Elephas maximus indicus: one gene and its partner. The protein of the gene in region 1 interacts with the protein of each later gene in a pairwise test. Links are inferred from orthologs where the notes say so. Each region holds a gene or a part of one and is shown on either strand. Other genes may lie near its edges.

Region 1 (10,387 bases):
TATGCATATTTCCTAACTTTTCTATAATGAATACAGACTGCATGCAAAATCATAAAACAATATTTTAAATGACATTTTTAAAAAGAACATATAACTAAGGAAGAGTACAGAAGAGTAGTAAAAGCCTGTAAGAGAAATATCTGGAAGACTTCTGTCAAAAAGAGCTGAATGAAAAATACCAAGAACATAAAAAATGGTTTTATAGTTTTGGTTATATTCAAAGCACAAAGAATCAAAAAAAGAGACAGGCTCATGATTGGAGGTGCTAGGGAAACAGGACACCAATGTTGTCATCAGAGAGCAAACAAGACTATTTTTATTTTGCTCCTGTCTTAACTCTCAAAAAAATTATACGCAGAATGAAAAGAGTAAAATTGAAGCCCAAGATACCTAAGGAGTGGGTAAAGGAGACCTTAACTGTCACGTGGCGCAGGTGAACTACTCCCCTACATACTGAGAGATTTTCCAGGTGAGACTGCTGTACTGCTGCTGGTAATCTGAGGAACTTTGGCAAACAGGAGTGATGCTGAGAGACTATAGGTAGTCAAATGCTGTTTTGATTTTCAAAGGGGAAAAAAGGTAGATTCCACAAACTAGACCAATGAACTTGACATCTATTCTATGAAAAATTCTGGCTGGATTTATTAAATCTACTCAGAAAGAGAAGCCGTGATCATTAGGTGTCAAATCATTACAGACTAATACCTCATTGCCTGTTGTGTATCTGTACTTCAATAAGGCATCTTAGAAGTTTCTCACAATTACCTTTATGAACCTTAAGTAGATTTACAATCAGCTGAACATCAAGGACAGAGTGCTGTTTAATGGGCTGAAATATACAGAGAGGTATCCAATGGTTGCTTGCAGGGTTTTTGTCCTCAATTTGGTCTTGTCCAACATTTTTATCAATGCCTTGGATGAGGACACAGTTGTTCATATTTATCAAACCTGCAGTTGACACAAAGCTGAGAGGGATAGCTAATATGGTAGATGACCAAATCAGGATCTAAAAAGATCTTGAAAGGCTGGAACTCTGTGTCAAGTCTAACAAGATGAAAGTTAACAAGGATAAAAGTAAGTCTGACACTGAATTCCAGAAAATCAATACAAATACAGGACAGGGGAGGCCAGACTTGATGCCAGTTCATGTGGGAAACACTTAGGGTTTTTAACTAACTGAAATCACAGCTTGGGTCAAAAGCAGGGAAGTTAGAAGGTTTTGCCTTCATAAATATTCTTTTCCTTCCAGCTCAACATAAACTTTTGGACAGACTTGAAAAGTGTAACAACTCACTTCAGGAGGTAGTGAGTTTGTCATTACTAGACGTCTTCAAGGCAAAATTAGATGGCTACTCTGGATGCTGACGAGCAAATAATGGAAACCAGTAGAGGGTTTAGTAGAAGACAGTGGATAGTGCCAAGATTCTACAATCTACTTACGTATGGGCAGATGTCATTATAATTCACAAGATGAAGTAATTTCATCCCAACTGACTTAAAGGAGCTTGATAATAAAAAGTTCCAGGAAGATATACTGAATGGGGAGTTCAAATTTAGGCTCACTTTCTTTTTTTTCTTTTATTCCTCTCCACCCTCACCCCTTGTCTATTAATCCAGAAAGTTTATTAAAGAATGAAAACAATATACTTCCTCACTTCTCATAACCCTAAAACAAAGTTTTAAACTTACTATTATGAAAGTAATATATGCCCGTTATACATAAAATGAAATCTTTTTGTTGAATATAAAATGAAAAGTAAAGGCTCCTCTCCTGCTGTCTCCACTCTTGTATATTCTCCAAACATTCCTGGACTCCCCTAGCCTATAAAGTACCTTCTTCTCTGAATCCCTGGGTAACTTAGTCTATATACGACACCATCTTTTATTATACAGCACATGTTTTCTTCCCAACACGACCAGAAGCTCCTAAAGGTAAGATTTGTTTTCTATTTCTGTGTGGCTTATGTACCAAAACCAGGCACACTCTAGAAACATTACCTTTGTTAATCTTTCTGATACTGTGAAAAACAAACGGTAATTTTCTTTGGTTGCTAAAGTCTTGTTTTTACTTCATATTTACAGTAGACATAGGCTAGTTTTGCCAATCCGGCATTCATTCACCACTTCTGACCTTCCCACCCAGCTCATCATTGGTTTATGGTAAAATGGCCAATTGTACTGGGCGACGAATGCAATCTAGGGCAATCAGGGCTTCACAATTCTCAAAAACATGGTTCAGGGTTGGTCATGTAACACAATCAAGACCAATGAGATAAAATCATTTTTGCCTTATTTGAAGGAGTTGAAGCTGAAAGGACATAAAAGGACCCTAGATACGGCAGCTATCTTGGGACCAAAGGAGAGATCCTATCCAAGTGTGGAGCCAACACCCAAAAGAGCACACTAGAGAAAGACAGGGAGATATGGGACCCTGGTGACATCACTTAGCAGTCCTATTAAGTATTATTATCACCTCATTCTTGATCTCAGAACTGTGTGACTTTGAAGTTCTCTTCAACCAAGTTTACTTCTCTAACTCCCTGAGTCTTTATCCTTACACGCTCTCCTTGAGCTCCTCATGAGAGTAGGGTCAGATGAAGAGGAAAAGAGAAAGAACAGGGATCTGAGATTAGAAATGTAAATATAAAAAGAACTATAAACAAATATATATGGTGATCTATGCATTAGAGATGTGCACACAGTGATGGCATGAAATGATGAGAGAATGAAGGGGCTGAGGTTGTTTGTGTGCATGTTGGTAGAAGGCTTTACAAGAAGGGGACATTTGGGATGGCTCCTGCATTATGTCTGCCACAAACCGCTGTAATTTTAGCTTGTTCCACTCTCTCTTGCCCATGGGCTACAATGGCCTTCTTTCAGTTCTTAAAACTAAGTTTTTCCAGCCTCAAAGCAATTATGCCATTGTCTGGATACTCTTCCCCAAGTCTGCTCATGACTGCCTCCTTTCCCTCCCTTATAATCTTTGTTCAAATTCCACCTTTTAAGAGATGCCTTTTCAGTTCACCCAATTTTAAGTGGGTTTTTTCCTCTTACACATCACACCATACCCCTTGCCATCGAGTCAATTCCAATTCACAGAGACCCTATGGGACAGAGTAGAACTGCCCCACTGGGTTTCCAAGGCTGTAAATCTTTAGGAAAGCCAACTGCCACCTCCCTCTTCCACAGAGCAAGGGTGAGTTTGAACCACCAACCTCTAGGTTAGCAGCCGAGCACTTAAGCATTGCACCACCAGGGCTCCTTTTTATCTTACTTTATTTCCTTTAAAGTTCTCATCACTAACTGTACTTACTAAATTTGTTTGGTTTATTGATTATCTCCACCACTAGAATGTAAGCTCCCTGAAAGCAGGGATTCTATCTGGAACACCTCTTTTTTTTACATTCAAATTCTTGCACAGAGCAGTAGGTACTGAATAAACGTTTGTTGACAGAGTACATGAATGGTAGAAAACCAGGGGATAGCGTGGGAGAAAAGTTGGCCTTACAGTTCTGCCGCTTGTAGGGAAGTCGATAGTGAGGGGGCAGGAAAAGTCAGCTGAGCTGAGACTTCACAGGGGGCTGAAGGGTATCTCGGCGAGAGTGGTGGAGTCCGATCAGAGCTTCAAGCCTCCCTTGGTCGTGCGTAGGGTGGTCGACTGAGTGGGCTGAGAGGCACACTCTCCGTCACGAAACCACTCAGTAACCAACTCCTGGGCGTCCCCTTCAGAGGAAACAAATGCGGCGGCTCTCCTCAAACCAACCTCTGTCCAGACCCGTGGACCTTATATAAGCGTACGTCGTCCTCCGCGAAATCGCTAGACAGTGGGCACCAAACTTAACCACCCGGGCCCGAGACCCTCGAGAGCAGGTGACGTGTAAAAAGAACGCCCACCCTCCGCCGGTCCCCAGTGGGGATGCAGAAACGGCCCCGCATCCCAGCGCCCGCTCATCAGTCGGTTGACGCGTATCTCCTCGTCTCCAGCTCACCCTGGGGCCCGAAACGGTCCCTTACTTACGCCTGTCTCCGGGCTATGAGCCGGTGCATGGGAGTCGCCATCTTAGCGCGGCTGAGAAGTGCCGCGCTGGGTCTTGGGAAACTCCTCGGAGGGGGCGGAGACTTCGAACCCCGGAGGCCGCAGACGTGGGCGGAGCCAGACGGGCCTCGAGTGTCTCTCAGGCAGCTTCCAGTTACAGAGAGTGGGTGGTGTGTGATCGCAGGTGTCTGCTGTGTGATCGCAGGTGTCTGCTGTGTGGGTCCCTGAGTTTGAGGAAGAGCGGGGAGGCCAGCTGTCGGGCCTACAAGTGGGTTTTGAAGGATGAGTACACGTATGATGCGGGGATGCGGAGGCAGGGAAGAACATTTTGGAACTACGGAACTCCATATACAAAGACAGTATGCAGTGTTCTAAAAACTAGGAGTAGCCTTGCAAGTAAACAGGAAGGGATAAGTTAACAGGTCTGTGACCATCAGTTGAAAGAATGGCTTTAACAAACCGTGAAGTGCAAGCATCTGTTAATTATTTTTATGTATTTCAGAGGGATGTTGTAAGGGCCAAATGAGACTATATAAGTGAAACTTTGTCAATTGGAAAACGATGACACAAATATTATATTTTAGCTGTACATATATTTAACATTAGATCATGGGGATATTCTCTTAAATCCACATTGTTTGAAACATAAAGTTCATATATATATATATATATCTGTGTTACTCCATATTTTTTGAATTAATTATTAGACACTTAAAATGTTTTAGGAACTGAGGATAGAGCATTGAAAAAATAAAGTCCTTGTGCACATGGAGCTTTCCACAGACAGTAAGCAAACACATGAAGACTGTCCAGTGAGCAGAAGTACAGCATTCCAAAGAAAAGTAGTTCAGTATAAGGTGGTTACAAGTGATTAGTTTTGGGAGTTGAAAGGATGCTGATGTGACCTTGGAGCACATGATATCTTACTATCTGTTGTGTGCTTCAGTTTGCTTTTTATATTCCTCAATGTATTACGGACATTTTCCCCATATCGGCACATACAAATTTAATGCATTGTTTCTATTTGTTACATTATATAGATTATTTGGAAACCCTGGTGGGGTAGTGGTTAAGTGCCATGGCTGCTAACCAAAAGGTTGACGGTTCCAATCCACAAGGCGCTCCTTGGAAACTCTACGGGGCAGTTCTACTCTGTTCTGTGGGTCTCTACGAGGTCAGAATCAAGTGAATAGCAACTGGTTTTTTTTTTTTTTAGATTGGATGTTCCACAATTTATCCAACCAGTATCCTATTATTATACAATTGGATCATTTACCGCAAAGATGGAAGGAACAGAATGAATGCTTAAATGTTTCTGTAGGGTGACTTCCTACAAGTGGAATTGCTGGATCAAAGGGTATGTACACTATTGATAGATACTAGCAGATTGCCCTTTAAATAGGTGGTAACCAAACCCATTTCCTCCCCAGAACTGAGAATAGTCAAACTTTTCCTTTTTTTTAATTGTACTTTAGATAAAGGTTTACAGAACAAACTAGCTTCTCATTAAAGAATTAGTACACATATTGTTTTGTGACATCGGTTACCAACCCCATGACATGTCAACAATCTCCTCTTCTTGACCTTGGGTCTCTGTTACAGCTTTCCTGTCCCCTCCTGCCTTCTAGTCCTTGCCTCTGGGCTGGTGTCCCCATTTAGTCTTGTTCTGTTTTATGACCCTGTATAATCTTTGGCTGAAGGGTGAACCTCAGGAGTGACTTCATTACTGAGCTAAAAAGGCATCCGGGGGACATACTCTCAGAGTTTCTTCAGTCTCTGTCAGGCCAATAAGTCTAGTCCTTTTTTGTGATTAGAATTTTGTTCTACATTTTTCTCCACCTCTGTCAGGGAACCTCTATTGTGGTCACTGTCAGAGCAGTCAGTGGTGGTAGCCGGGCACCATCTAGTTGTACTGCACTCAGTCTGGTGGAGGCTATGGCAGTTGTGCTCCATTAGTCCTTTGGACTAATCTTTTTCTTGTATCTTTGACTTTCTTCATTCTCCCTTGCTCCAGATGGGGTGAGACCAGTGGAGTATCTTAGATGGCTGCTCACAAGTTTTTAAGAGAGAATGGTCAAACTTTTAAACTTATAGCTATCTAATAAGTCATATATGTGATGGTTAATTTTTTATGTCAGCCTGGCTACACTATGGTTCTCAGTGGTTTGGCCAGATATTGGACTGGTTGCTGTTCCATAATGTAATCACTTTCTGTGATGTGATCTGATATGATCAACCAATCAGTTGGTACTGGATAAACGGATATTCTGGCAGAGCTCACTTTCTCTCTTTCTTTTGACCCTGCACTTACCTCATCACCTGGTCTGTGGATCTTGGAATGTGAGACTGCAGAAGCCTCTGGCCTGCTGCCTGGCCTATGGATTTTGGACATGCCAGCCCCACGATTACATTTGCAAATCCCTTGAAGTAAATCAATCAACTCCTCTCTCTCTCTTTCTTTATTTACAAAAATGAAACAAACCCATTGCCATCAAGTCAATCCTGACTCATAGCAACCCTATAGGACAGAATAAAACTGCCCCATAGTGTTTCTAAGGAGTGGCTGGTGGATTCCAACTGCAGACCTTTTGGTTAACAGCTGCATTCGTAACCACTGCACCACCAGATATAGATACGATATGATAGATATGTATACGATAGATATAGATATGATGTAGGTACATCTACATACATATATGGAACCCTGCTGGCGTAGTGGCTAAGAGGCCAGCTGCTAACCAAAAGGTCAGCAGTTAGAATCCATCAGCTACTCCTTGGAAACCCTTTGGGGCAGTTCTACTCTGTATTATAGGGTCACTAATAGACTTGATGGCAATGGAAGTTTTATATGTATATATACATATATATACACACATATATACATCTCATTGGTTTTGTTCCTCTAGAGAACCCAAACTAAGCCAATATATTAAGTACCTTTTGTAATTATCATTGATACAGTGTACTTCTTTCATGAATTGTCTGTTCAAATTTTTTCCTATTTTCCTGTTGAATTTTCAAATTATTTGTAGAAACTTTTAATATTATTAATAAACCCTTTATTTTATAGGTTACAAATATTTTTCCTAATTTGTCTGTTGTCTTTTTAACTTTGTGATCATTTACCATTATGGAGGATTTTTTTTTTTTTTTTTTTAGCATTGTTATATAGGCATATTTAACAGTCTTTTCCTCTATGGATTCCCAGATTTGGACCACTTTTAGAATGGCCTTTTATGTCCAAAGATTATTTATATATTTTTTGTAATTATATAATTGCAACTGTAATACAGTTTTGTTATCATGGTTTTACCTTAGTCCTAATTTTTATGTTACTGAAATACCATTTATTAAATAATCTATCACTTCTCTATTGATTTGAAATGCCATTCTTTCGTGTATTAAATACGGACAAATTTAGTCTATGCATTCTATTTTCTTCCAAAAATCTATTTGTGCCAGGACTTCTACTGTTTTAATTACCATGCTTCTATAGGATATTTTAAGGAGCCCTGGTGGCACAATGGTTAAGCACTTGGCTGTTAATTGAAACGTTGGCTGTTTAAGTCACTAGCAGCTCCTCACAAGAAAATCCTTGGCGATCTGCTTTCATAAAGATTACAGCCTGGGAAACCCTATTGGGCAGTTCTACTCTGTTTTATGGGGTTCTTTAAGTTGGAATTGACTCTACAGCAAACAACAACAGCATAGGATATTTTGATACCTGGTAAGGCAAATCCCTCTTAATATACCCTCCTTTTTCCTCAATTTTCTGTATTGCTCTTAGGCATTTATTCTTCTAAACGAGCTTTGTTCTCATATTTTCAAGTTTCCCACAAAATGTTATTAAAATCTCTTTTAGCTGTCAACAAACTTAAAAAAAAACTGCGTTACAGCAAACATGAAAAGGCAGGAGACAAAATAAGAGATACAACAAATCGAAAGGAGGAAGCAAATGACATCATTTGTGATTATTTGATTGCACACCTAGAAAGCGTATGAGAAATAACTAAAAGCTCCTAGAAAGTTCAACATAGGGGCCTGTCATGGAATGAATTGTGTCCCCCCAAAATGTGTGTCAACTTGGCTAGGCAATGATTCCCAGTATTATGTGGTTGTCTACCATTTTGTGATCTGATGTGATTATCCTATCTGTTGTAAATCCTAACCTTTATGAGGCAGGCTTAAAGGCAGTTATGTTAATGAGGCAGGACTCAGTCTATAGGATTAGGTTGCATCTTGAGTCCGTCTCTTTTCAGATATAAAAGATAGAATCAAGCAGAGAAGAGAGGGACCTCATACTATCAAGAAAGAGAGCCAGGAGTGGAACATGTCCTTTGGACCTGGGGTCCCTGCACTGAAGCTCCTAGACCAGGGGAAGATTAATGACGAGAACCTTCCCCCAGAGCTAACAGACAGACAAAGCCTTCCCCTGGAACTGGTACCGTAAATTCAGGCTTCTAGCGTCCTAAACTGTGAGAGAATAAATTTCTCTTTGTTAAAGCCCTCCATTTGAGGTATTTCTGTTATAGCAGCACAAGATAAGTAAGACAGGGCCAGGCAGAAAATAAAAGCACAACAATTACTTGCTTTCTCAGTGACAAGACTATGCCACCGTAGCCGCTTTCCATTGAGGCCCATGAGCTTGAGGGCCTCAATGGAGGTACTAAGATTTTGTAAAACTTAATGGATAGATTTAATACGTAAAAATGAAAAACTCATGTGAAAGCTGCAAGTAATTTCTATCTGGCAAGAGTGAACACTCTAAGTCTTTAAGCAAACTATTGCTTTGTTCTGAGAAAATCTCCTGAAAGTGTCTTCTAGTTATGTAAGTTGGCTCAAACTGGGGAGGGGAGGAATAAATATAAAAGGCGTGTACTGAGGCGAGACCTGCATCTCTCAGAACTGAGTTTCTGTTGGTCAGGATGCTTTGACTGTTTCCTGTCCTGTCCCTGGCCTGTTTATGAGAGCCTATGGTTAGAGGGCTAAACACAAGAACAGAGCATGTTTAGTGGTCGGGTAAACTATGCAGTCACACAGGGCCCCACGCTTAGAAGGGTTTAATTGGTTTAATGCTCTGCTGTCACTGTTTTGAAAATCTTAATTTTTGAAGAAGGAGCCCCACATTTTAATTTTGCACTTCTTGTTGTATAGTTGCTGTTGAGTAGATTCCGACTCATGGTGACCCTATGTATATGGAAAACTGCTCCATAGGGTTTTCAAAGTTGTGACTTTTTGGAACCAGATCACCATGCCTGTCTTGTGAGGTGCCTCTAGGTGGGCTAGAGCCACCAAGCTTTCAGCTAGTAGTCAAGTGCTTATCCCTTTGCACACCTGGAAACTCCTAATTTTGCACTAGGCCCTGCAAATTTTGAAATTTTGCACTGGTCCTGCACCAGAAGTTGGTGAAAGCATTTTTACAAAATATTTTGTGACTCTGACCACATACAAACCAGCTACACCAAGATCAAAATAGAAGAGAGGGCTGATCTTTCCACCTTTCCTGGAACTCAGAATCAGTTTTTTCCCTAAAAAAATAAATAAATAAAAATGTTTTTTACCCTTTCATAACATTTTACAACTACTTGTGGTAACTATTCAGGAAACTTCAGTGTTGTAACTGATAAAATTGGGCCTTGGTATGAAATCAAATGTGGGTTCTCCCTTCCTATGTCTTTACGTACAACACAAAGAGCTCTTCTCCATCCAGTAAAATAGGAGAATTTGGCTACATAAGGGAGAAGTTCAAAGTAAGGAGGCCAATTGTTTTGGAAAAAGGAGTGACCATACAAGTGGAGTTGAGAGAGGGGATCTTGGCCTCTGTGGGTATGAAATCAGGTTTTCTAAATGATCCTGGGTTTGGGGCTGAGAATGATGCTTGAAGCTCTGTGGAATGGGGCAAGAGCTGCCTTCCTTAATTAATTTCCATTTCTTAGAGGGCCTGAAAACTAAATGCTCAAAAGTTGTGTCAAGTTCTCTTACCTTCAGACACAGCTGCTTAGGATCCTCATAGTCTTTGGACCCTGATGCAACACTTTGCTGTGGCATGGCTTCATGAAGTGATCATAAAGCTGCGAACTTGAGAGTTTAGAATTTGCTGGTTCCCCGTCAGGTAACATAAACTTGTCTGCAGTAGGAAAGAAGGAAGATGACACGCTGAGAGAAGCAGAGATGAGAGACAGAGAGGAAAAGACCCAGCTAGACTTGATTGTTTGTCTTCTCCGTTGGTTCACTGGGTTACCACAGTTTCCTTCCAGGAAATTCCTTTTTTTGATTAAGATGGTTCAAATTGGGTTTCTGTTACTTGTCCCCAAGGAATCCTTGACTTGATCACAAGAGGTAGGGTTTAAT
Region 2 (10,056 bases), on another chromosome or scaffold:
TTGCCACAACCTGAACCATGTCTTCCTATTTTACACCGTTCTCCAACGGGGCTAGTACCACCTGAAGAATGGTAAAGTCACATCAAAACCCCATTCCCCGAAGTCTAATGGCTCAAAATCTCCCAGGTAACCAAACTCTCTGGTGGTTTTCATCCAATGTAACAACTATGTATACAGAGAAATATGTTTTTCCAACTGCAAAGTGGATAACAAATGCTATTTACTGAAAGAAAAATACCCTGCCATAACCAAGCTGTACCATTTACCGATTACAAGTTCTTTTATTCTTACTCAAATTATTCTGAAATATTAGTTATCAGGCAAATAATTCCAGAAAGTCAAGTTTCAGGAAAATATAATAAGATAGAATTTTAATATTAAAAAATAGCATTCAAAATGCTTGTCTGCTTAATGGACTGCATCCATTCACTTAGCGTGAACACAACATGAAGTTATGGGAAAAAAAAGTCTGGACAATTCACATTATCTACAGACTTCAGAGTAAAATGGGACCTGCTTCCGTACCATCATTCTGTACCTAAGCCCAGTCTAGTTCACTGTGAAATCAAAAATACCCTACAGAAGCAACAAGGTTATGGAGAGCAAAACATTTTTCAAGAAAAAAATAACATTTCACAGAAGAAGAAAATATCAAAAGAGCAAATTCCTTTTAATGTGTATTCTCTGTTTCTCATTTTGCATCCCTTTAAGTTGCATCTCTTAAAAATCTGAAAGCCAAAAATCTTACAAGAAGCCACATACAAAAAAAAAAAAAGATAAATCAGTAATAACTAAATCATCAATTAGTCTCTTGGCTAACGAGGCACTGTTGGGTTTAGCTGTTGACCAGTCAGTTGGCTGAGTCACAGATAACCAGAACCATGTCACGAAAGAAAAATCTAACACATCGTCAACTATTTCTCATATATCCCTACCACAGGCCTTAGATGCTTCCCAACTTCCTATCACAAACATGTCCGTGAAATAAAAAAGACAGGCCTTTGTGAGGAACTAACAAAATACGAATTTACTTAGAACAAATAACTCCTCTCCTTTAGCAACAGAACCGAGAGTATAAGAATATATTAAAAGGCCCTTGGGAAGGATAAGCAAATTGTTGCAGTATTGCTTCAGTAGAGAACATTTTAAAAAATCCACCTTTCTAGAGGTCTAATATAAAAAAGGATCCAATGTTGAGATTTAAGAAAAAACCACACCTGACATAATTTTTAGTTACCTTCTGTTTTTGCTTCCACTGTTCCAGTTTTGATGGCTGGATAAAGCAGGAGACTATCTTGCATATATAAATCAAGTTCATTGGTGTCATTGAAAAGGTTTTTAATGCTTTATATCCATATTCTTCCATTCAATGAACTTTAAAAGATCGATTTTTACATGTTCCTCCTCGGGAGATTCTAAGTTTCAAGAAACTGGTTCATCTACTGACACCTTAAATTCTCACTTCGGAAAATTCATGATTCATCTTTCAAACCTAATGTTTGCAAATATATCTGTATTCTAAAAACGGGGGAGTAGTAGATTCAAACCGTGCCTGTGAACCAAGGATTTCCTAGAACCACAGATCTAAACTCTCAGTTCTCAGGTCAGAATTTTAAGCTATTGTGGACAATGAAAACCCTAAGAATCAGTATAAAAGCATAGGGTTGTGACTAGGATGACTACATCTCCTGGTTTATACCTGCTGTTCTTGGGTTTAATCCACCCTCAAAAGGGTTCTGGTCTGAGGCTCAAGTCACAACAGTGGTCGCCTTGGGGAGTAGGGAGGTGTTTACTGAAGGGGAGGAGATACAAAGGGAGCCCTTTGGAGAGCTGAAAATGCTCTGTATCTTGATTGGATTGTGGTTATCAGAGCGTATATACGTAAGAAGTCACTGAGTGTGCTCTCAAGCTCTTACTGTAAGTTATACTCAATAAAAGAGTAAATATAATTTTTAAAACACATTCAAATACATTTTTCAGTCTTTGTTCAGATAATATAGCTGACCAAGATGTTTTCCCAAATGTATTTTAATAAAAATTCATATTGTGAGCACTTTTATGTAGAACTTTTCAAAAATTAGACTGTGATTTTTCTAGATCTTTTTTTAAAAAAAAAAGAAAGTCAAATTTTAGAACTTAAAGCACACTGAAAAATGAACTATCCATCCCCTAATTCTGCACGCGGAAAATCAGTTCTATAAAGGCTGAGTAAGGAAGGCACCCAGGGTAAGATACCCAGAAGACAAGGGCAGTAACAGAGCTGTTTCCTGATCTTGGGCCACTCCCTTCCCACGAGGCCGTTATTTTCTGACATTGTAAACAAATCAGAACTTTGAATCTATCTGTGGCCTAGAAACATGCAACCCCTTCTTTAAAATACGAGGTCAACAGGCCCCAAAGTGTCCTCACAGAGACATACGTCTCCCTTCATCCTCTCAAGACAGTTGCTCAATTAACAATTACATTTTCAGACATTTTACTTCAGATACAAAAAAAAAAAAAAATAAGTCTAACATCTTCTAAATGTGGTTCAAGAGGAAAAGGCACGCGGGGTGGGGGGGCGCTGCTAAAACCCATCTAAGCTCCCTTCAAATCTCTTTGACGGTGCCTTGGTTCTCAAAAACATATCGCTGCTGAACAGGACTCACAAAACATCACTTGGGGCCATTAACCAGGATTGCTTTGAGCGACCCGCTGGGAACAACCCCCACTTAGGTCAACTCTGCCTGAGTTTTGATGGGAGTGTCTTCCTCCCCCCTTCCCGATTATTTAACGCCAGAACCCCACTCCTTGAGCACAACAACACCTGTGTGTGACCTAGGCATTACACTTTAGATTTAGACTCCGCCTGAAAAGCTGACATTTTGTGAAAAACTTAACATACATCCTTCCCGCGGGAATTTATTTCTGTTCTCACAAGGCGTTTGTGCTCCCCACAAAGCAGGCCTTGCTTTTCAGGACACTGCCTGCCTCTCCACAGCCTCCTTCCCAGTGCCCAGCACAAGGCTTTAACAACAGGAATGGAAACGGTCACGGATCTCCAGGGTGGCACGGCGGGTCGGGACGCTGAACAGGTCCGCTCGGGGTCAGGCGGCGAACCCGGCGAGCCCACTGCCCGCTCGCGCGCGGCGCCGGGAGGCCCCGCGGACTGCACAACGCCCGAAGCAACCGGTTGCGGTGGCCGCTAGGCGCTTCGCAGTCGCGCAGCGGTCACCTCGGCACAGCGAAGTTCGGCCCGGCCGCGCGGGCGGCGCGCCCCCGGCTCCCGCTGCGAGTTCGCGCCTCGGCCCCGGAGCGAGCCCGGGGGGCGGGTCCGCAGGGGCTCGGCGGGCGGGAGCGCGGGGCGGGGCGCGCGGCGCAGGGAGGGGCGCGCGGCGGGCCCAGCGTGCCGGGAACTTGGGCGCCCGCCCGTGCCTTGGCCCGGACACTTTCCTTTCACGCCTCCCGCGGGCTGACGCGCGCCGCCGAGCCGGCACTGACGGCCGCCGCCGCCGCTCTCCGCCGCGGCGAGGCGCCCAGGCGCGCTCCTGCAGCCGGGGCGGCCGGCGCGCGGGGACGAGCGGGGACGCGGGCGCGCGCAGACGCCGCGCTCCCCCCGCTCCGCCCCCGCCCCCAACGTGCCGCCGCCGCCCGTTGGCGCCTCAGCCTGCGCGCCTGCCGGCGCCCGGCGATTTTCCGTTGGCAAAGTTGCGCGGCCGCCTCGAGGGGGGCGCCGCGGGTTCCCCACCCCGGCGCCGCCGCCGCCCCTTCAGGCCGCCGCGCGGGAAGGCCCAGCTGGCGGCCCGCTTTTTTACCTGCCGGGAGTTTTCGCGCGCGCGCTGGCTCAATCGCTCGCTTTTTTTCCTCTCGCGCTCGTTCTCTTTCTTTCTTTCCTTCTTTTTGCTTCCCCGAGCGGGCGCTTTTTCCGCTTGCGCCGCCTGCGCTCGCCCGCTCGCGCCCTCCTTCCTGCTGGGCTCGGCGGAGCGGGCGGCCGGCAGCTCTCCCCGCCCCCCTCCACCCGCGCTCCGGCGGAGGCGGCGGCGGCGCTCCGCGCTCCGACTCATTCCAATATGGCACAGGCGCAGGGCGCATGCGCCCGCGCCCCCCCACCCCCTCACCTCCGCGGTCCTCCCGGCAGCCCGCGCCCCTCGCGTCGCGCGCGTGGCGCCCCCAGCTTGGCCTCCCCGCGCTCGCCCGCGCGTCTTCCCGCTGGGCCAGCCGGGGACGCGGGAGGAGGCGAGGGTCGAGTGCTGCCAGCGGTCCGCAGCTCTGCCAGCCGCCCGCGCCCTCGGCCCCTCGCGCCTCCAGCCCGCAACTCGCCGCGGATGCCCGGGAGGCCGTGGCGCCGGGACGCGGCGTCTCCTCGGGTCCCCGACGGCGCGGTGGCCTTGCGCAGACGGGCCCCGACGGGGGGACACGTCCACGGGGACCAGCGCCCGCCCTGGCCCTGTTCGGATCCGGAGGGACGGGCCCGCGCCTCACCCCAGGCTGTGGACGGATCCGCTGGCGTCCCCGGGTCGGTTTTGGCGTCCGGGCCCAGGCGAAGCGCGCCGCTGTCGCCCGCACGTCACCGCCGCGGGCACGATGGCATTAGCGGAGGAGAGAACGGAGCGCCGCCCGGCCCCAGATGGGCGCGCGTGGTGGCCGGGGGAGCTGCGCCCGCCCGCCTGACCCACGTCGGGGACGGGCGCGTTCTTTTCGACCTGGAATGGCCCCCAAGTGGCCCCTGTGTGCGAAGTGCAACCCAGGTTCCCGGCGCACCCGGTTTCCCTAGGCTTCCGCAGGAGGCTCCCTGTAAATCCGAGTTCTCCTTGCCGCTCAGGACACCGGCGAGGGCACTGGACCGCTGCGGAATCTTGGCTGGAGAGCTGGGGCCTCGGATGGAATAGAACCTCGAGGGTGGCTGCAAGCCAGCCCTGCAGCCCGAGGTGGCTACGGGTGGTCGCAGTCCCCGAGAGCGAAACTTCCCTAGCGAGCACAGGTGCCCGTGGGGCACACCCCCACACACCTGCTCCAGAAAATTCCCTCCTAAGGGAGGTTTCCTTCGCCGCCCACCCCCCACCTCTCAGACTCCCTGGCCCGGGGAAGGTCTCGGACTGGGCGGGGAGGGTTCCTGCTGTTCAGGAAGGAGGAGGCGACCTCGACTCTAGGGAGAGGTCTGGGATACCCACAGTGTGCCAAACACCCGCTCAGGCCACCTCCTACTGCCCTCACCACCGCGCTGGGAATGTTACCTCATTTTACAGACAAACTTGCTCAAAGTTACACTGCTGGCTGGATTTGAATCCACGTTTTTGTTTTGTTTTTTTTTTTTTTATCTAGTGAAAAGAGAATACAACAAGCAGAGAGAAAGAAAAATGTAAAAAGAATAAAGTATCCATAATGCTACTACAGAACGCAACTTTTCAAGCAGAAAATCTTCCGTAAATATGTTTTTGCATAGTTGCATACTTTTGTGTTTTGCTGCTTTCACTAACATTTTTCTTTTCTCCGCCTGATTCTTTTTTTTTAATTTTTATTGTGCTTTAAGTGAAAATTTACAAATGAAGTCAGTCTCTCACACAAAAACTTATGTACACCTTGCTACATACTCCCAATTGCTCTTCCCCTAATGAGACAATCTGCTCCCTCCTTCCAGTCTCTCTTTTCGTGTCCATTTCACCAGCTTCTAACCCCCTTTACCCTCTCATCTCCCCTCCGGAGAGGAGATGCCAACATAGTCTCAAGTGTGCACCTGATCCAAGAAGCTCACTCCTCTCCAACCCATTGTCCAGTCCAGTCCCTGCCTGAAGAGTTGGCTTTGGGAGTGGTTCCTGTCCTGGGCCAACAGAAGGTCTGGGGGCCATGACCACTGGGGTCCTTACAGTCTCAATCAGACCATTAAGTCTGGTCTTCTTAGGAGAATTTGGGGTCTGCATCCCACTGCTCTCCTGCCCCCTCAGGGTTTCTCTGTTGTGGTCCCTGTCAGGGCAGTCATCGGTTGTAGCTAGGCACCATCCAGTTCTTCTGGTCTCAGGCTGATGTAGTCTCTGGTTTATGTGGCCCTTTCTGTCTCTTGGGCTCGTAATTACCTTTTGTCCTTGGTGTTCTTGACTCTCCTTTGATCCAGGTGGGTTGAGACCAATTGATGCATCTTAGATGGATGCTTGCTAGCATTTAAGACCCCAGACGCCACTCTCCAAAGTGGGATGCAGAGTGTTTTCTTAATAGATTTTATTATGCCAAATGACATAGATGTCCCCTGAAACCATGGTCCCCAGACCCCTGCCCCTGCTACGCTGGCCTTCGAAGCATTCAGTTTATTCAGGAAACTTCTTTGCTTTTGGTTTAGTCCAGTTGTGCTGACCTCGCTGGTATTGTGTGTTGTCTTTCCCACCACCTATAGTAGTTCTTATCTACTATCTAATTAGTGAAAATCCCTCTCCCACCCTCCCTCCCTTCCCCCTCTCGTAACCATCAAAGAATATTTTCTTCTCTGTTTAAACTGTTCCTCAAGTTCATATAATTGTGGTCTTGTACAATATTTGTCCTTTTGCAACTGACTAATTTCATTCAGCATAATGCCTTCCAGATTCCTCCATGTTATGAAATGTTTCACAGATTCCTCACTGTTCTTTGTCGATGCGTAGTATTCCATTGTATGAATATACCATAATTTATTTATCCATTCATCCGTTGATGGGCAGTCACCTGATTCATTTTTAAGGGGTGCAGGTATCTTCATCTATCCACTCAGTCCCGTAATATAGTATATTTTGGTTCTTTACAAATGTTTGCTAATACATTTTTGAATTCTGCACTTGGGACAAATTCCCAGGAGTTGAATAATCAGATGGAAGGCAGCTGGTCCTGCCCTGGCATTTGACTTTCTCAAAAAGCTGCCCTCCCTCACTCTACCACCTCCTAGAAATAAGCATAAGGAGTTCAACATAACATTTCTAAGCATTTGGTACCATGTTTCCCCCTACTTTCCTATTGTCTATTGGTAGTTCAAGGTTACCTTAATTAACATTTCCTAGATGACTTTCAAAAATGAATTTTTTTCCATGCATTTACTATCCCTAATCCCCCTTCTGTGAACCAACTGTTCATATCCTTCCATCTCTTGGGGACTTGACCTTCTAACTTTGAACAGCATTTTTTTTTTTTAATTACAGATACTATTCCTTTGTCATCATTGATGCAAATATTTCCCAGTCTGTTATTTTCGTTCATTTTATTTTAATGTTCAATCTGTCATTCTAGTCCTTTGTGATTTTTTTATTGCTTCAGTCCCAACAAAGTGAGCTTTCTTCCACCCATCTGATAATCTATTTTCTGCTAGTTTTTCTACAATTCCATTTTATATTTAATTCTTTGATGATTATCCGTCCCCAGTTTATCATGCTGTGTGGAGTAAAATAGGAATTTAACTCACTGCCACTGTAACCAGTTGTTATCTGATTATGCAGACACCATTTATTAAATAAGTCTTCCCTTACCCTTTGTTCAGTCAAACCTACTTTTAGGTTAGATTTTATGTCAGGATTTTGATTTTGGTTGGTCTATTTCTGAATTTTCCATTTCCTTCCAAAGACCTTGGTCTGAGCAAATACTACAGGGACATAAATATTGGTTCTTTGAAATAGGCTGTAACATCTGACAGGGGTAAGATTCCCCCTTGTGGGATTTTTTTTTTTTTTTTTTAACCACAAATGAAAAGACAATATGGAAATTCACTTGGTATCCACACTAGTTTACATTTGGGGATAGACCACCCAGGTTCAACACTTTCCAGATCTGTAATCTTAGCAATTTACTTATCTCCTCTAGGTCTCAGGGTCCTAGTCTATGACACAGGGATGACAGCAACACTTGCCTCACAAGTTCCATGCCTGGCATGTAGTAAATGCTTGCTAAATGTCAGTAATTGTTGTTGCTGATACTTTTAGTTCCAAAAAACTCATATTGTGATTTTGCATGAAGTTGCATCAAACCTATGAAGTAGCTTGAACAGATCAAATATTCTATAACACTGTACTTTACTAACGAGGACATGCACTATCTTTCAATGTATTCAAATATTTTAAATCTCGCAGACAAAATCGAGGTAGGTCCTTCATTAATTCCAGCCTCTCTCCACCACTCACCTTCATGACCCCTAAGGAAAAGGAAAATCAGACAACCATGAGGAATGGTTGAAAGCGTCGTTTGAGCACCTTCCTTGCACTGGGCCCTGTGTGGTAAGTGTGGTGACGGCCTCTAAGCATCCGTCAGGGTAGTGGAGGCATACCCAATAAAAGAACAGCAAACCAGGGCCTCCCAGGTCACCCTTAGTGAGAGACAAAACTAGGCCATGAACCAGGTATGCCAGCTCCTCAGCCACCCTGCTACTTGGAAATTCAGGTGGGCAGTTATTCACAGAACAGACAGCCCCCGGAGAAGCATAGAGCCAGAGTAACCTGTGGAAAACTGACTTCTTTTCATGGCACACCACAACCTGAAAGCCTCCCAAGGCTTCCCATCAATTTGAGTAAGTCCAAAAGCCTTACTTTGGCCTACAAGGCTGGCCCTGCCCACCTCCAAATTCATCTGCCATCACTCACCTGCGTTTCTCACTGCATTTCAGCTGCACCTGTCTCCTTTCCATTCCATAAATGTGCCAAGTTCCCTCCCACCTCAGGGCCCTCGCATATGCTCTTCCTACTGCCTAGCACAATCTCTACCTTCTCATTGTTCTGGTGTCTGTTTAAAAGAGACCTTCCCTACCCACCCCATCTAAACAGATTCCCTCTCTCTTTCCCCTACCTGTTTCCTTCACAGTTAGTATTTACAATTTATACCCATGTTTGTTTGTCATTTGTTTGGGCTCTGTCTCCTCTCTACCCCCTACAGACAGACATCAGTTGCCTGAGTGCAGAGATGTGCCTGTCTTGTTCACCATGAGGCCAGCCCTTTCCTTATCTGGACAATGACCCCTAGAGGCAGTGGGTGGCTAGCCGGTCATTTGGCAGCATCCAAGACCAGAGGCTGGCATGCCCAGTCTCTGGCCATTCCCAACTTGGTCTCCGTCATGGATTGAATTATGTCCCCCCAAAAATGTGTGTATCGATTTGGCTGGGCCATGATTCCCGGTATCGTGTGATTTTCATATATGTTGTAAATCCTGCCTCTGTGATGTTAATAAGGGAGCATGGCTGGCAGTTGTTAGTGAGGCAAGACTCAATCTACAAAATTGAATTGTGTCTTGAGGCAATCTCTTGAGATATAAAAGGAAGAAGCAAGCAGAGAGACAGGGGGACCTCATACCACCAAGAAAGCAGCGCCAGGAGCAGAGCATGTCCTTTGAACCCAAGGTCTCTGCACAGAGAAGCTCCTAGTCTGGGGAAAGATTGATGCGAAGGCCAGCAGGAAGAGAAAATCTTCCCCTGGAGCTGACGACACGAATTTGGACTTTTAGCCTACTTTACTGTGAAGAAATAAATTTCTCTTTGTTTAAGTCATCTACTTGTGGTATTTCTGTTACAGCAGCACTAGATGACTAAGACAGTCTCCCTGCCAGCTCTCTAGGGTAAGGGCTATGGTTCCCATCCTCACTGACCGAGGGGTCAGTTGTTGGTCGTTCCATATGGACCCTGGTCCCCCGGAGCCTTGCCTGCTACTTCCGAGCAGGCCTGCTCTCTGGGGTGAGCATCAGCTCAGGGTCCTATCCTGGGTGAGAACCCAAGGTCCGAGGCTGGACCCCAGGGACTGGCAGAGCCATTTTCAACCCAAGAATTTAAGTTCCACAGCCCTGCCAAGCCCTGCCATCAGCAATCAGCAGCCTGCCGTTGCCACTGACCAGCCAGCTCCCTTCAGTCAGCCCAAGTGAAGCGAGCCATGTAATGATTCCCTGAGACTAATTACCGGAGTGGTCAAGTGATCACCACCAGAAAACCACTGCTCAAGCCATGCTGCTCTCTGCTGAGCTCAGCTGGCTTCTGCCATGTGTCCCCCCATACCTGCCCTACCTGTCTCTGTCTTGGCTCCTGCAAATCCCCAAGACACCCCTCTTCCCTAGGGTATGTTGTAAGGGAAAAAGTGCTAGGCTAGAAGGCA

Evidence for each region.
Region 2: the proteins of ZCCHC10 (region 1) and SFMBT1 interact in binary tests that used the Homo sapiens proteins (3 or more experiments, as listed by UniProt). The two-hybrid records come from large-scale screens. The link is inferred for Elephas maximus indicus from reciprocal best matches to the Homo sapiens genes ZCCHC10 and SFMBT1.

What each region holds. Positions count from the first base shown.
Region 1 is NC_064820.1:124,403,380-124,413,766, reverse strand, and holds the start of ZCCHC10 (zinc finger CCHC domain-containing protein 10), read right to left. Parts: upstream 4,090-10,387; 5' UTR 4,060-4,089; coding exon 4,019-4,059; intron 1-4,018.
Region 2 is NC_064838.1:57,245,626-57,255,681, forward strand, and holds the start of SFMBT1 (scm-like with four MBT domains protein 1), read right to left. Parts: upstream 4,747-10,056; 5' UTR 4,462-4,746; intron 4,441-4,461; exon of another isoform or gene 3,795-4,440; intron 1-3,794. UniProt on the Homo sapiens protein: Histone-binding protein, which is part of various corepressor complexes. Mediates the recruitment of corepressor complexes to target genes, followed by chromatin compaction and repression of transcription.